Arabidopsis thaliana: one gene and its partners. The protein of the gene in region 1 interacts with the protein of each later gene in a pairwise test. Each region holds a gene or a part of one and is shown on either strand. Other genes may lie near its edges.

Region 1 (4,229 bases):
CCAAAATAACATATAATGTTAAAAAAATTCAAAATTTAATTAATATTTACAATTCATCAATTTCTGTCCGACGCATATATAATATTGTTCGAAGTGTTTTTTTTATATTGATAGATAATTAAAATGCTAACAAATAACATGATCACGTGTAGATTCTGGTACTTAACCGGAATAATTAATCAAAAATTGCCGCCCTAAATGTAAACCGTGTTTCTTCATCAATTATATTATCCCATGCTTCTCCGAGAGTGGTCGGTCTGGAATATATGTGCACTTGTCAGATTTCTATTGGTTGCATGGGAGATCGAATCTTGGGTTAACCCAAAACTGTTGCAATCTCTCTTTCTTTTTTTTCTTTTTTTTTTTTGTTATTTGGCGGCACTTCTAACTGAAATAACTGTCTCTTTTGTACCCACTTGCATGCGAATCCTTTGTTTCCCTTCACATTGCCATCCGATCTACGTACATAGATCTTTTTTAAAAATAGATATCTTGATGTTGTAAATTTATACTAGTAGTGTTTTACATTTTATTTTGTCATTTATATATGTCTATTTCTGTTTCTCATATTCATATTGTATATCGTATATCGAATAGAAAGATGAACTCCATTTTATGGTCGTTCCATCAGTTAATGCTCATATATTTTCTAGTGTATTAGGCTGTTAATGTAAGGTTGTGTGATTCGGGAAAAAAAATTGAAATTTCGGAGATTTTGAAACAAAAATTAAAAAATTGAGTGGCCAGAAATCCTTTCCTCTCCATATTTAGTGTCGTCATATAAAATACCAAAACTTTTGTTCCAATATAGAAAAACTATTGACCGAAAGTCCAATTACGTACTCCAAAGACTTATGGATATAAGAAATTATAGTTTGAGTATTTATCATTTTGGTCGAAACTCGAAAGCTATATATAATCATATGAACATACAGTCACATTTGGTGTAGGCGACTATAAAACTTATCTAAAGTTGATTTATCAAAAAAAAACTTATCTAAAATTTGGAAAAATGAAATCGATCAGATATATATATATATATATATATATATATATAAAATTTGAACAAGCATATGGTTTTGAGATGGTTATATGTATGATCATGTGGGATCCAGCAGTTGTGAACATGTGAATAAATCCTTGGAAGCTATTGATGGGCCAACCCAAGAGAATCACTTCTCAGCCTTTCTCATCATCGTCATAACCTTTTTCTCTCATTATTCCAAATTCCATATTCTCTTTCTTCTTTGTATCACCATATATATACACATATATATATATCTTTAATATATCTACAATGTGTACATAGTACATACCCTTCTTGAGACATTTCCCTCACATGAATCCATCTTTTGGTTCTTTACTTAATTCTTTTTAACGTTCACACACATTCTATAAACTAATAACATATTAGTCCTATGATTAGCCCCACCATTAGATTGGGTCATTGCCTCATTGGCAAAAATATATAAATTTGGTTAGAATGAGAAAGTAATAAATTAAAAGTTAATATGTAAAAATCGGTTGAAACTATTATGAAATTTCGGAGTCTACAAGATCCCCAAGACTTAAGACCGTGAAGAAAAATCACGAAATTACATGTAACTTTAGCTATAAAAAAAGAAGTCTAAATGATTATAATGATTTTTTCTCCATTTATTATATGATGAAAACGCGGATCTACAGAATTTAATGTCATTCCAAGATGAAATCGTACGTATGAAAATACACATAAGGAAAGTGTCATTGATTTGTTGAACGATGTGGGCTAAATGGGCTTTCCCGTGGGCCGAGTAACTTATGATCAATCTACAAGCGGTCACGTGAATAAATGGGCTTGACCGTGGGCCGAGGAACTTATGATTAATCTAAAAGCGGTCACGTGATTCCCAGCGGTGAGCGCACGTTAGAATAGTTCCCAGTTCCATAATGAGGCTAAAGTGAGCCGAACCATGTCTGAGAGTCAGAGAGATGAGATCATAAATTAATGGAGATCTTACAAATATGGAAAATTTTAAATACAAAAAATCGAACCAAAGAAGAAGAAGCCTACGGTTGTTCTGTTCCTTTCAATCTCACCAAATTTTCATCTTCACCTTCAATTTTGATAGATTCTCTTCACCGAACCAAATCCGTAACCCTAGCTTCTTCTTAAATTATAGAGAAAAAGAGTTAATTCGAATCTGGATGAAATTGGTTTTGTCTAGATGGAAATCTAGATGTGTCTGATTCCGAAATCTGAGTCTGAGAGATGCTAGGAGCGATTCATTTGGGAGTATTAGCAGCTTGTTTCGTCCTCTTCGTTCCCATGGCAATGGCTGGTTGGCATCTGAGCAGGAACAAGATGCTCTTCTTTAGTGGCGCTTTGTTTATTTCTCTCGCGGTTTGTGTTCATCTCACGCCTTATTTCCCTTCCGTTTCCGACATCGTTGCCTCTGTTTCCTCTGTTGTTGTCTACGATCATCGTATCTCTTGTATCAACGAGGTTAATCAGATTGTCTGGGATGTTAAACCGGTACCGAATCCGGAGTCTGTTCGTAGGAACAATGGCTCAACAAAGCTTGATTATTTCGTGAAGAACTGGGATTGGATGAAATCGAGGAAAGTTTTGAGTTGTGAGTTTCAGAAATTGGATAAGTTCGATGTTTCGGATTTGTTGAATGGATCGTGGGTTGTTGTTGCTGGTGATTCTCAGGCGAGATTCGTGGCTTTGTCTTTGTTGAATCTTGTTTTGGGTTCGGATTCCAAGGCTATGGATTCGGTTAGAGGGGATTTGTTTAGGAGACATAGTGATTACAGCATTGTGGTTAAGGAGATTGGGATGAAGCTTGATTTTGTTTGGGCTCCTTATGAGAAAGATTTGGATGATCTTGTGGTATCTTATAAGAAGATGAAAAAGTATCCTGATGTTGTGATCATGGGAACTGGGTTATGGCATATGCTTCATGTGAACAATGCTTCAGATTTTGGTTTTAGGTTGAGGCAATTGAGTAGTCATGTGGAGTCTCTAGTGCCCCTTACGCCAAAGGAGCAAGAAGGAGGTGGGTCGGTCTCCGGTAGATCTGTGCATCTGTTCTGGATTGGGATGCCGGTTTTGATCAACGGGATGTTGAATACGGATGAGAAGAAGGAGAAGATGAGTGATACGGTGTGGCATGAGTATGATAGATCACTCGGGGAGAGTAAGATCTTACGTCAAATGGGTGGTCCTCTTATCTTGCTTGATATCCAGTCGTTTACCTGGAACTGTGGACCGCAATGTACACTTGACGGGATGCATTATGACTCTGCGGTCTATGATGCCGCTGTCCATGTCATGCTCAATGCGTTGCTTATTGAATCTCATCAATCTTTATGAGTTCTTGACACGTTTTTTTTTTGTTTTTTTTCCTTTTATTTTGTTTGGGGTTCTCTTGTAGAGTTTTAAGAGAAGTGGGATGTTCATAGGAATTTTACAACACACGGTGATCCTTTTGGCCTGAGTGATCTTCACATTGGAGAAGTAAGTGAACTTACATTCATGGCTATAATAGGTTTAATATCTTTTGACTTTGAGAAGTTATAACCTTTAGCTATTCTGATTCTTGTTATATCACAGTACCCTTTTGGATTCTTTTTACGATAAGACTCAGTACTCATCATTAGCTTTAAGCACTTGAAGGAAGCTTTCGCTCCTTAGTAATGTAAACAAATAGATACAATAGTGATGTTTGTGTGATCACTGTTCTTAGTACATTGGTGAGTTTTTGTACCTATGCGTGGGAGAGAGAGAACTATGAAATGCAAAAGTCTGACCCAAGTTCTTTCCTTTTCAACCCTAAAGATAACCTTAGACCAAGATCGATATACTTGCCATCAAAAAATTCTGACCCGGAAAAAAAGAATCATGGGATTGTATCTCAATGTGTCCGTCTCTGTCTCACGGAGTCTCGAATTGTTTCCCTTCGAAGGTCTGTCCATAATTCCAGTTTTTCGGGGAGACATTGTAAGATGTCACGGTTGACCTGTCACTAGAAGTTACTTCAAATGAGAGAGCTTGGTTCCTGAGATCAGCATTAATATGCCAATTTTGTCCCCAATTACGACCCATAGGTAACCACCCGGTTCTCGACCCTTTGATCTTCACAGCAGCTATATCACCGGACCCTGCAACATTGGTGATCAAAACCGAAATGAAAATGCCTCCACCATCGACTGTAAACCGCATGCTCCCTTCCTTTCTACAGTTG
Region 2 (4,918 bases), about 18 Mb from region 1:
ATTCTGATTCAGAGCAGCAGCGTACGAAATTTCCGATGAACGTGCGGAGATTAACGATCAATTCCCGTTTTATCATCCCCCGCTCTTGCCGGTCAGAATTTTGTGTTTCGTTCATTGGGCCTATATGGTCACATTATGTTGAATCCTAGTTGGTCTGGGCCTTATAGATATCGAAAAGGCCCAGTTTTGGTAATCCAGTGGGCGTAAGTGCGTGACGTGTCAATGTAATCACAAACGATCTACATATCCTACTATATAATTTGGGAAATACATTTTAAATGTAATCTTAATTTTTGTAAGTAATTACATAGGGATGCCATTAGAAATAAAATTTTAAAGAGTAAATTAATTTATGTATTTAAGGATTAAAAAGTCAAATACTAATTTAATTAATTAAATTAATTAAAAAACGAAATACATTATTAATTTTCAAAAATAATAGCCAATCAAAATCAACATATAAGATTTGATATCTAAATTTTAATTAATTTAATTTAATTTCAATATGGATTAAATCTTTAATTTATTATTTTAATAAAATTTACAAGTTTTAATATATATTACTTTTAAAAATAAATCGTCCCGCGGTATACCACAAGTTAAAATCTAGTACATATGTATAATATAACACACAAAAAAATGCTTTGAAAAACAAGTTATAAGGTTAAGAAGGTGGCTTATAATAAGCGTAAACAGCGTAAAAACTTTGAGAGAAAGTGAGGACTAGTAGAATAACCGCAGCACAGAAAGAAACAATTGCCCATGGATTATTGAAGTACTTATGTTTCAACGTAGCCCTCCAAGCATTCCACTTATGATCGTAGTAACGATTAACCTCAATCGATAACCTAGATAAATAGCTATCTTCGGTGTCGAATACAACTTCTTGACATAAACGGTTGAACAAATCCGCGACTTCAGAATCGCTCCCTAGCCAATGTTCGATGATACCACAGTAGTGTAAGTAGCTAACATCTTCGTGAGAATCTATTAGATTGTCCATGAAGATTATGTAGGATGTTATATCATTGCTCGAATCGATATGACACTGCTCAAAAGCTATAAGATTCAGAAAAAGAGATTTGGTACCTACAAAAAAACATACGAGGATGGCTTTACTTATTATAAACATTTAGTTGTTTTGTTGAGAAAATGTATTTGTTTCATTATCTAAACTTTTTGCCAATCTGAAAACACATACTCTTTTCCATTGCTTAGATCATTCTGAATTAGTCAATTGATGACATTTCTTATATTCCAAAGTAGCATTTTTATGCAACATACCACATCAATACATCATGATTCCTACTAATATATTCTTTGTCAATCCATATAAACCAATACAAACGAGAAAATATCAATTTATATGGATTTGATGAATTAAAAAGGTGATGGATAAGAAAAAAAAACTGTAACATTTTACTCAAACAAAAGAAAAATAAATTGTAAACATATGGGGCATGTGTTAAAAAGAAGAAAAATGTGAAAAACGTGAACGTACCGTCATGGATAAGTAGCCTCGGTATTTCTAGATAACCGTTTTTGAATTGCATATCCCAAAACCGGTCGGTTTTCCTTCTTCTGAATTTTATACCAGCCTCTTTTAGTTCCGTCACACAATGTATCAATTGTTGCCGGCGCTTGTCCGCCACACGCGTGTTTCGAGACCATCTCTTTCTTGTTAACCTCGGCTCCGGTTTAGGACTAGACCGTAACAAACTACGACGGAAAACATCTAGACAATGCAGTTCACCCATATCAGCGAATGGGTCAAAGGATTTATCTCTTGCCAGTGAGTTCTCGAGTTTTGACTGGCCAGATTTAGTCAACGGCTCGTCCGTTGGCATTAGTGGATCAAAGAACCGAATTGCTAATTGTGCCACCAAACCGGTTTGGTTCCGTGTACCAAGCTGTAACTCTAATAACCGGTTTAGAACAAATAAAGGAAGTTGATTTTCAAGCATTACCATGTCACGTTGAATCGAATGCATCGATCCTCTCATCGCGAAAACTGGATCGTTACGTGCATATCTACACAAAACATTATTGTGACCGGTTTAACAATTATTTGAGAGAACCGGAAATAACCAGATATTGAAAAAATCAGGCTTACCCGAGTTCAGTGAATCCTTCAACGGCTCCTCTAAAGAGCTCAAGCACAAAACAACCATCAAGAACTAGCATTTCGATAAATTCGTTACTACTCAAACTTAAGGGACCTTCGTAACAAGCTCGAGCCTTTTCCTCTAGCTCTCTCATGGCGTCGATATACATTTTAATGCCTTGGTTCGTACGTTTCAAGACTCTATTGACAGCACGCCATTTGTGACGGTCCATAGACCGGAGCCGTTTCTTACCATGATGGTACGGACCAAGCGAGACTGTCTGAGGGAAATACGATTTGTTGTCGTTTTCTTGAAGGTAATATGGAACTCTGTAGATACAGAGCTTACCCCAGAGTGTTGTGTCATCATCTCTATGTGCTTGTTCGAGCTTGTCTGTGATCGAGATCACCCAATCGTCTCGTGAATCTTTTGGACTCTCTTTGATTACGTAGATAGCGGGATCGGATTGAGTTTGCTGGTTGTTATGAATGTTTTGATCTTGATCGGATCTGGTGATTTCGGGTAAACCGGGGAGGTTTTGATCTTGATTAACCAATACGGATTCTTGGTTTTGTGTTTCGAGTTTTTCGCGGATCTTAAGGGTGAGTAAGTACCAGCTCAACATGTCTTTGTAGAAGACAGCCACCATTTTTTTTGTTGCTTGAAGCTTTTTTAAGAAAATGAGGGAGTGAGAGAGAAGGAAGTATATGTGAATGATTTGAAGATATAATTGGTTACTTATTGTACTTATGGACCCAACTGATCTGTAATGACAACAACCATAATTAGATATTTATAAACACACACACACACATATTAATATCTTTGAAGAAAAAAGTAACAACTAAAAGTTTATATATCTTACCTAATTATTTTAACTACTAAAATATACAAATTAATTTGGAATCGTGCGGCTTAAAAGGGTAACATAGAATAGAAAATATGCATTTGTGTTCTATAATTTACCATATATCCGACCATTATCCATAGATAATAGAATTTTGATATACCCTTTCGTTTTGGTTTGAGTACGAATCCTTAACGCATCAAAGAAGGGTAAGGTCATTGCGCAACCATACTAGAAACGCTCGTATGGGGAATATGAGAGTCGTTGGACAAGATAAGATTATTTGTCTTGTCGAATTTGGGCAATTTTAAACGATAAAAGCACAAAATAAAATCTCTTCTTTAGTGGTTTTTTTCTTCTCCCTTTTTTCCTTTTTGCTCTTTGTGTCACATCTTGAAATTCACATTTCATCGTTGTTATTGATATTCTATGGGGTATTTGGTGCATTATGGTATTTTTCTTATATCTCGAGCAACAATTATTAATAAGAAAAATAGAAAATAAAAATATAGTGAGAGCATAACGGAACATGTACACTACACAGCTAGTGTGTGGAACATGGCACGACCTCACCATTTCTCGTATGGATGATGATTGCTCAACAAACTTTGAATCTATATTGGTTGACGGGTCACAGTTTTTTTTGTGCTTATTTTCATTAGCCAAACTCTAGGGTGTGGCCGAAGACTAATCTATGATGTAAAAGAGAATAGTAGAAAAGGTTTTCACATTAATTTTATCAACTGTAAGAAAAAGGTAAAAAAATGTTTCCTTCTTATTCCATGGAAAACCCAAAACACAAAAGTGAAATGAGAAGAAACTTTTTCTTTAGGTTAGAAATGTGGAAAATATTTCCTCTAGTGATCACTTCCCATTTTTTACTGTTTTATTCCTCTTGTTTTTCTTTCTTTGATTGCACCCAATCAAACCTTTATATGATTTTATTTAAATTACTGTAGTACATTCGACAAAAGTGAAATTGACTATCTAGACTCTTTAGTCTTAATACATCGAGTGTTATGGAGATTTTTCGTCATCTTGGAAAGTGAGTCAAACTTTGGAATATCCGTCAATAGACAATGGTCATTCTCATTAATGTTTTGGAACATTGTTGTAGTCTTAATTTCCGATAACATATTCAAATCTGAACATACCACATCATTGGCTGGAGACGTACTGGTGAATCAAAAGAAATTTTAAAGAGGTGTACAACTTAATATAACTATTTGGTAACCATATAGTGCTAAACTAGTGTAGAAATGCAATTACAAGTTTAAGCATCGATGGTAAACTAGTTTGGTTGTGACGACGGCAAAAATGTCTCTTGGGACGATATCGTTTTATCGACGTAATCTATATTTGTTCTGACCTGTCTCAGTGTCTCACCTCCTATGAAGCTAACTGTTAATATATATATGGCATCGTCCCCCCTAGACCTACCGAGTCACAGCGATACTTTCATGCTACCACAGACACCTTGTCATGATCAGATTCAAGACATGTGAACAATCAAAAATAAGATTAAATAAAAATGCTGGAAAATTTTAATTTTAGTTTCTGATTTTATTTTTGCAATACAATAGAAAATAAAATAAACAAAAATGCTCGAAAAAAAGTTACAAACATTCCAAGTTTAATGAAGGAAACTACTGAATAATAATGAAAATCAAGAAGGTGGGTTAAAATAAGGATAAGCAGTAAAGAAACTCTGAAATAACGTGAGAACTAGCAGGACAAGAGCAGCAAAAAAAGAGAAGTATGCCCAAGGATTATTGAAGTACTTGTGTTTTAAGATCGCCTTCAGAACATTCCACTTTCGGCTATAATTCCGATCAACTTTATTCGACAATTGTGACAAATAACTATTTTGGGGGTCGAAAGCCACTTCTTGACATAACCGGTTGAACAAATCCGCAACTTCATAATCATTCCCTAACCAATGTTCGATGATACCACAATAATGCAA
Region 3 (7,301 bases), on another chromosome or scaffold:
CATCAAATGCTCTTGCCTTTTCTTGTGTCGGTGGCTTTTAGGATTTCCCATAATAGTTGGTATACTTTGTTTGTTATATAAAAATAATTGGAATACCTCATTATACTGGGAAAGCTCTCAGTCGACCTTTGCCTTTTCTTATAATTTTGTGTCTCATGATTTGGTTGCTGAATTTGTATTAGGGGGGTAAAATACGTGCCAAACTTGGTGCAGAATTAAGTGGTATCAAGGATATAATAATTTCTGAGGGGACTGCCGGAGAGGGAGGAAAATTGGCAGCGCAACGTGGCATGCGTAGGTATATTGGGTGGCTCCTTGACCCATTTGGTTGCAGCACATTTAGTTTTTCTTTCAACTTTCTCTAACTATTTCTGCCTTTCTATCAGATCTTTATTCTGTTTGTGTCCTGCTGGTGACACACCATCTTCAGCGAGGTTGTTTGATGCCATTGTCAGTGGCTGTATACCTGTTATAGTCAGTGACGAGTTGGAATTTCCTTTTGAAGGAATACTTGATTACAAGAAGGTATGCTAGAAAACGTATTACATTGGTGCTCTGAATTATAACCATTTTTTGTCTGAATTAGTTTAGATATGAAGCAAAGTTTGTATGACTGTTCGCTCTCTTTTCTTTTGCTTTTGTTTACCTTTCAGGTTGCTGTGCTTGTTTCTTCCAGTGATGCAATACAGCCAGGGTGGCTTGTAAACCATCTGAGAAGTCTTACGCCCTTCCAAGTCAAGGGGTTGCAGAATAATCTTGCTCAAGTAAGTACTTAGTTTTCCTTATCACTAACTTTGATGTTACAAAATGCATAGTTCGCCTTACACGAAAGGGCATAGCAACCTTACTTGGGCAGTGGATCTTTATATATATTAAGTAATATGGTTGTTTTAAACTTTTCCAGTACTCTCGCCATTTCCTATATTCGAGCCCTGCTCAGCCATTAGGTCCAGAGGACTTGACATGGAGAATGGTATGTACCTACAAAACTTACATACCTTTCTATAACTAAGATGGAAAAGAAATCAAAAGCTTAATAATATCTGACAGAATGTACATGTGGTAACTTAATTTTGATATTGTGAAAAAAAACAGAGTATAAAAACTTCACCTTTTGTGTTGTACAATGGCAAGGTCTCTTCCTTAATTATCCTGATTGTTCAGCACCATGTGTGTTCGGCTTATCCATTAATCGTCTAATTAAGTATTTGCCTTGATCTTTGATCAGTCAGTGAGAAGAACTTACTGCAATGTCGAAATCTAAGATTCAGAAAATCTTGATGTGTTTGTTGCGTTGACAGATAGCCGGAAAGCTGGTGAATATCAAGCTTCACACGAGGAGGTCACAGCGGGTCGTGAAAGGATCTAGGAGTATTTGCAGATGCGATTGCTGGAGATCCAACTCTACAGCCTCCAATTCTTTGAGTTCTCTCTTGTCTTAAGACCGATCACTCTGACTTCACATTCCAGTCTTGAATACCCTAGATATATACTGTGGAATGTGTATCCTATTCAATTTTAACATTGTTTGCTATTTTATATAATGTAATTCCTGTTCATCTTCGCAACTTGGCTACTTTTAGCTACGTGGAAATATTATGAAACTAACATTTTATACAATTGTGTATGTCCTCTTCACGTCATTTAAAGGTCTCTCATTGTCTGCTTGTTATTTTATTCCCTTGCGACGTTTTAAGTATTAGCAGATGATATAGACATGGGTGAATTTTTCACCACCAGCCTGTAGAAATTATCTACAAACATTAAAGTTTTTCAAGTTGAGTTAGAAAATATTTTGAGCTACTTTTATTTATGTATTTTGATTCAGATATCTTTGGTGGCACTTTTAATTGTTGACCTCACAAAACTGTTTTTTATTAGTCTCCATCAGAGGAGTTGATCATAGGCACTTCTTCATATACCAGAACACTGGCGGTTCTTTGAGGTAGCAGAAATGGAGGATCGTCATCGTTATCTTTTTTTCATATTTGCCATTATACATTATGTTCAGGCTCAACAAGGTAACCACATTTTATTGCATTGTTGCACACGTCTTTTGTCTGTTTACTGATTAACCTAAAGCAATATTTCGTGGATGAAAGTCAATCATTCATAACTATATTTCCTCTCACCAGGATTCATCAGTTTGGATTGCGGGTTGCCGAGTAACGAGCCTCCATATATTGAACCGGTAACCGGATTAGTATTCTCATCGGATGCGGATCACATCCCTAGTGGAATAAGCGGTAGAATCCAGAAGAATCTGGAAGCAGTACACATAAAGCCGTATTTGTTTCTGAGATACTTTCCAGATGGGCTACGAAATTGCTATACTCTAGATGTCCTTCAGAACCGAAGATACATGATCAAAGCTGTGTTTGTGTATGGAAATTACGATGGTTATAATGATTATCCGAGTTTTGATCTGTATCTAGGTCCTAATAAGTGGGTAAGAGTTGACTTGGAAGGAAAGGTCAATGGCAGTGTTGAAGAGATTATTCACATACCAAGTTCAAACTCTCTGCAGATTTGTCTTGTCAAGACAGGTAATTCTTTGCCGTTCATATCCGCCCTGGAACTGAGGCTTTTGAGAAACGATACTTATGTTGTCCAAGACGTTTCCTTGAAGCATTTATTTCGGAGGTACTATAGACAGTCAGATCGGTTAATCCGGTAAGTGTTGCACTATATCATAATCTGTAATTTGATGTTGATATACAAAATTTCCCTAAACTTAGCAATATATAGATGCATGAAGACAATACAAGAAACCTTCAAATGTCTGACCAACATCAGGAAGTTTCCTATTAATGCTCTTACCAATGAACTTTGACTTATATAATAGACGTATTGAAATTGTTTTTAATGATCGTAATGTCTTTCATAGACCAGTTGTTTGTGAACTGGTGAATTAGTGATGCATGGTTTATCAATCCATGTAGATGTGTTTTCTGATGTCCGCAGGTATCCTGACGATGTCTATGATCGTGTTTGGTCCCCATTCTTCTTACCGGAATGGACGCAGATAACTACCAGTTTAGATGTGAATAACTCTAACAACTACGAGCCACCAAAAGCAGCATTAACATCAGCTGCCACACCTGGAGACAATGGAACGCGATTGACCATTATTTGGACTTTGGATAACCCTGATGAGCAAATTCACCTGTATGTTCACTTTGCCGAGCTTGAACCTGTTGGGGAAAACACTGACGAGGCCTTGAGAACTTTATTTACAAGGACCTTTTACTTTGTGGTGAATGGAAAGATTAGTTATGATGAGAGTATTACTCCTTTAGACTTGGCTGTAAGTACTGTAGAGACTGTGGTGAACAAATGCGATGGCGGTAACTGCAGTTTGCAGCTGGTACGCAGCGAAGCGTCTCCGGGAGTACGTGTACCTCTGGTTAATGCTATGGAGGCATTCACTGCAATCAAGTTTCCACATTCTGAAACAAATCCTGATGATGGTACGTACGTATATATCTCAACTACTTTTACTAAAATTTTGGGATATATGCCTCAAACTATTATATGGAATGCTATTCCATTAGCTCGACCAGTTTTCTGTAGTATCATATTAATTTTCTACAGATGGTAAAGCAAGTTAATGTGAACCAAATTATTGCACTTTATCTAACAGTAGTCCACATACGAGACATGAGTGATGATGATGAGGTTATGTAAATTAGTTCATGCGAGAATTAATCAAGAGGAATCATCATAGTATCAACCACAAGAAATAATTTGTTTTGAACATATTACCTAATTCTTGTTTTTAATATGTTTTAAGTATGGTATATCTTTAACTCTATGACAGTTATATCTATCAAGGTTATCCAAGCTACCTATGAACTGAGCAGAGTCGACTGGCAAGGAGATCCGTGTCTTCCCCAGCAGTTTTTGTGGACTGGCCTAAACTGCAGCTACATGAACATGTCTACGTCACCAAGAATCATTTCCTTGTAAGCACTTAAAAGTGTGATATTGTTGTTATAAATTAGTTACGTTTCTAGATTTCTTACTGCTAAAATGTGTTATGTGACCAGAGACCTGTCCTCACATAAATTAACTGGGAAAATAGTGCCAGATATACAAAATCTGACCCAGCTACAGAAACTGTAAGTATGGCCTCTAATAACTGCGCTGTTTGAGCATCAATAGGTTTTTCAAGTTTAGTATGGTTTTTGTACTTCTATTGACTATATATACCAAGAATTTTGGATGTTTATTTTTAATTTCTAGTATCATTTCCTGCACATGTGGCTGCACATCTGCATTACCAATATAAAATCAGTCGCTGTTTTTTCAACAAACTATTTCTATGTAACCTTGTTTCTGCATCCTCACACATGAATGACTATGATTAGGCAGATTTCAATTTCTTCATTGGATATAGAGTAGTGTGATTTGTTTTTCTTTTCCGTATTTAATAAACATAACTGTAGGGACTTGTCGAATAACAAGTTGACCGGAGGTGTGCCTGAGTTTCTAGCCAACATGAAGTCACTGTTGTTCATGTAAGTCCTCAAACAAGTGAACTTATCTCTTTCTGTTTTCTCTAAATTCTTTGCATTTTCATGAGATAATAGCTTTTTCCATGACAGAAACCTAAGCAATAACAATCTTGTTGGTTCCATTCCTCAAGCGCTTCTTGACCGAAAAAATCTGAAGTTGGAGTAAGATCTTCAAACGTAACATTCTTTCAACTATTACTTGTGCCCTTAGATGATTTCTATTTATTCTGTAGGTTTGAAGGAAATCCAAAGCTTTGCGCCACAGGTCCGTGTAACAGTTCAAGTGGAAATAAAGAAACCACAGTCATAGCACCTGTTGCTGCTGCAATAGCCATTTTTATAGCTGTTTTGGTTCTCATTATTGTTTTCATAAAGAAAAGGCCATCAAGTATAAGAGGTAATGTTAATAAAGAAAATATGTTACATTATAAGAAAACAGGAATAAAAGCTACTAGAAGTTATTTAGCTATATATTTTACTTGATGTTTTTATGCAGCTCTACATCCGTCACGGGCTAATTTATCTCTGGAAAATAAAAAACGAAGGATCACATATTCAGAGATATTGTTGATGACAAATAACTTTGAAAGAGTTATTGGTGAAGGAGGGTTTGGGGTCGTCTATCATGGTTATTTGAATGATAGTGAGCAAGTGGCTGTTAAAGTGCTCTCTCCGTCCTCATCTCAAGGCTATAAAGAATTCAAAGCAGAGGTGATTTTACTACAAACTTTGAACATGGAATTGACTACAAAGGTATTATGGCTTCTCCTTGAGATTCAAATAATCATTGATGAATGGATTTCCTTATGGTTGATAGGTTGAACTTCTCCTTAGAGTTCACCACATAAATTTGGTAAGCCTTGTTGGATATTGTGATGAACAAGCACACTTAGCCCTCATCTACGAGTACATGGCTAATGGAGACTTAAAATCGCATCTTTCAGGTAGACATGAATAATATGGTTTGGTGGTTTTGACAGGTAATTATACAGTAACATCTTATCTTCATTAGACATGTATCTCCTGGTTATTACAGGAAAACATGGGGACTGTGTTTTAAAATGGGAAAACAGATTAAGCATAGCTGTTGAAACCGCACTAGGTTAGTGTTATTTCGTCCATTCCATAACTAATCTGTTTTCAATACTAAAAAGCCTCTCAAGAAGTTGATTTTGTCCAATTTTATCCCCCTTGTAAATTCCCCTCCTACAAACTTATGATGATACGTTAAACATAAATGAAACTTTCAATATAGGATTGGAGTACTTGCATAGTGGATGCAAACCACTAATGGTTCACAGAGATGTCAAAAGCATGAATATACTGTTGGATGAGCACTTCCAAGCTAAACTAGCGGATTTCGGACTGTCTAGATCTTTTTCTGTTGGAGAGGAAAGCCATGTGTCGACTGGTGTTGTAGGCACTCCTGGATACTTAGATCCTGAGTAAGCATCAATATAGAACAGGGTGCATTCCAAATATAATTTCCGAGTGGTTAAAGAAACATGATTTGTTATGTATTGTCTGTGTAGGTATTACAGAACATATCGCTTGACCGAAAAGAGTGATGTCTATAGTTTTGGGATCGTGTTATTGGAGATAATCACAAATCAACCCGTACTTGAGCAAGCTAACGAAAATCGACACATCGCAGAACGTGTAAGGACTATGCTTACAAGAAGTGATATTAGCACCATTGTTGATCCTAACCTCATTGGCGAGTATGATTCTGGTTCTGTGCGGAAAGCTCTTAAACTAGCGATGTCGTGTGTGGATCCATCTCCGGTTGCAAGACCAGACATGTCACATGTTGTTCAGGAGCTTAAACAGTGTATCAAATCTGAAAACCTGAGACTGAGGACAGGATTGAACCAAGTCATAGACTCGAAAAGTTCCTAGGACGACCAAGACTAGAGTTTTGGTTCGGGAATGACTCCAAATGCACGGTGGTGATCTCTGATCTGTGACCAAATGTATTTCTCGTTTTGTGTCTTGCAAACAAAACATAATAAATCAAATTAAGTCAATTGATGTTTTCAAATCCGATCCGCTTGACGTGATCCGCTGATAATATTGGTCTGCGATGGGGTGTGTTGTTGGTTCGTTTTGTGTAATAGCGTGGATTAATATTCACTCATCACATAAATTTTCAAAAATAACAACAAATTAAATACTATATGTCAGATATTTAATATTAATGTTGACAGGGACATTATTACGTGTATAATGAGAATTATTCGTGGTTAGTAGTAGTTACTCCCATAGATATGAAATATTGACATTTTTGATCAATGCTACGTACACACGTAACACGTTATCTCATTATTCCAAAAAGAAACATTTTGTATTCACAGGTGAGAAATACTCCTGCGACCGCGTATTCCCATTCCTTATTTTGAAATTCCCCAAAGTACCCTCATCGTCTCTTTCAGTGTGCTTACACGTTTTTTGATACCCGAGATTAACGCCTCCCTACGACATTCTTTTTTATTTTCCCATATTTTATTCTGCAAAATACCAAAAACAAAATTGCTTTATACTAACATGATATATTAATGACATTAATCTAAACAACGATATATTAATGACATTAATCACAACCATTTCCCCTTTATTATAAGAGGATTTCGTAATCTTACATTTCTTAATGCCATTATATTTTTAACTTGCGACTTCCCGAGAAAATTCAAATTCACTTGAGTTATTTTCAAAACTTGGATTCTACAGTATCTGTTTGCTATAAACACTTGTAAATCACTGAACTGAGATCAAATAAATTAGAGA

The links.
Region 2: the proteins of AT3G03210 (region 1) and AT3G50120 interact in a protein complementation assay, tested with the Arabidopsis thaliana proteins (one large-scale study listed by BioGRID).
Region 3: the proteins of AT3G03210 (region 1) and AT5G16900 interact in a protein complementation assay, tested with the Arabidopsis thaliana proteins (one large-scale study listed by BioGRID).

What each region holds. Positions count from the first base shown.
Region 1 is NC_003074.8:738,736-742,964, forward strand, and holds AT3G03210 (Pmr5/Cas1p GDSL/SGNH-like acyl-esterase family protein), read left to right. Parts: upstream 1-1,968; 5' UTR 1,969-2,251; coding exon 2,252-3,358; 3' UTR 3,359-3,574; downstream 3,575-4,229. Other genes in the region: EXPA13 (expansin A13), read right to left, coding at 3,920-4,229. UniProt on the Arabidopsis thaliana protein: Component of the plant cell wall polysaccharide acetylation pathway. Does not directly catalyze O-acetylation of xyloglucan but exhibits weak acetylesterase activity in vitro.
Region 2 is NC_003074.8:18,584,493-18,589,410, forward strand, and holds AT3G50120 (transmembrane protein, putative (DUF247)), read right to left. Parts: upstream 2,861-4,918; 5' UTR 2,755-2,860; coding exon 2,114-2,754; intron 2,032-2,113; coding exon 1,502-2,031; intron 1,090-1,501; coding exon 665-1,089; 3' UTR 508-664; downstream 1-507. Other genes in the region: AT3G50123 (uncharacterized protein), read left to right, coding at 3,482-3,625; AT3G50130 (transmembrane protein, putative (DUF247)), read right to left, coding at 4,619-4,918.
Region 3 is NC_003076.8:5,553,300-5,560,600, forward strand, and holds AT5G16900 (Leucine-rich repeat protein kinase family protein), read left to right. Parts: upstream 1-1,757; 5' UTR 1,758-1,777; intron 1,778-1,881; 5' UTR 1,882-1,954; coding exon 1,955-2,021; intron 2,022-2,135; coding exon 2,136-2,673; intron 2,674-2,803; exon of another isoform or gene 2,804-2,917; coding exon of another isoform or gene 2,918-2,964; coding exon 2,965-3,470; intron 3,471-3,820; coding exon 3,821-3,965; intron 3,966-4,049; coding exon 4,050-4,121; intron 4,122-4,448; coding exon 4,449-4,520; intron 4,521-4,607; coding exon 4,608-4,679; intron 4,680-4,750; coding exon 4,751-4,914; intron 4,915-5,013; coding exon 5,014-5,228; intron 5,229-5,334; coding exon 5,335-5,461; coding exon of another isoform or gene 5,462-5,494; exon of another isoform or gene 5,495-5,553; coding exon 5,554-5,619; intron 5,620-5,772; coding exon 5,773-5,962; intron 5,963-6,049; coding exon 6,050-6,416; 3' UTR 6,417-6,641; downstream 6,642-7,301. Other genes in the region: AT5G16890 (Exostosin family protein), read left to right, coding at 183-298, 387-525, 654-764, 905-973, 1,302-1,442.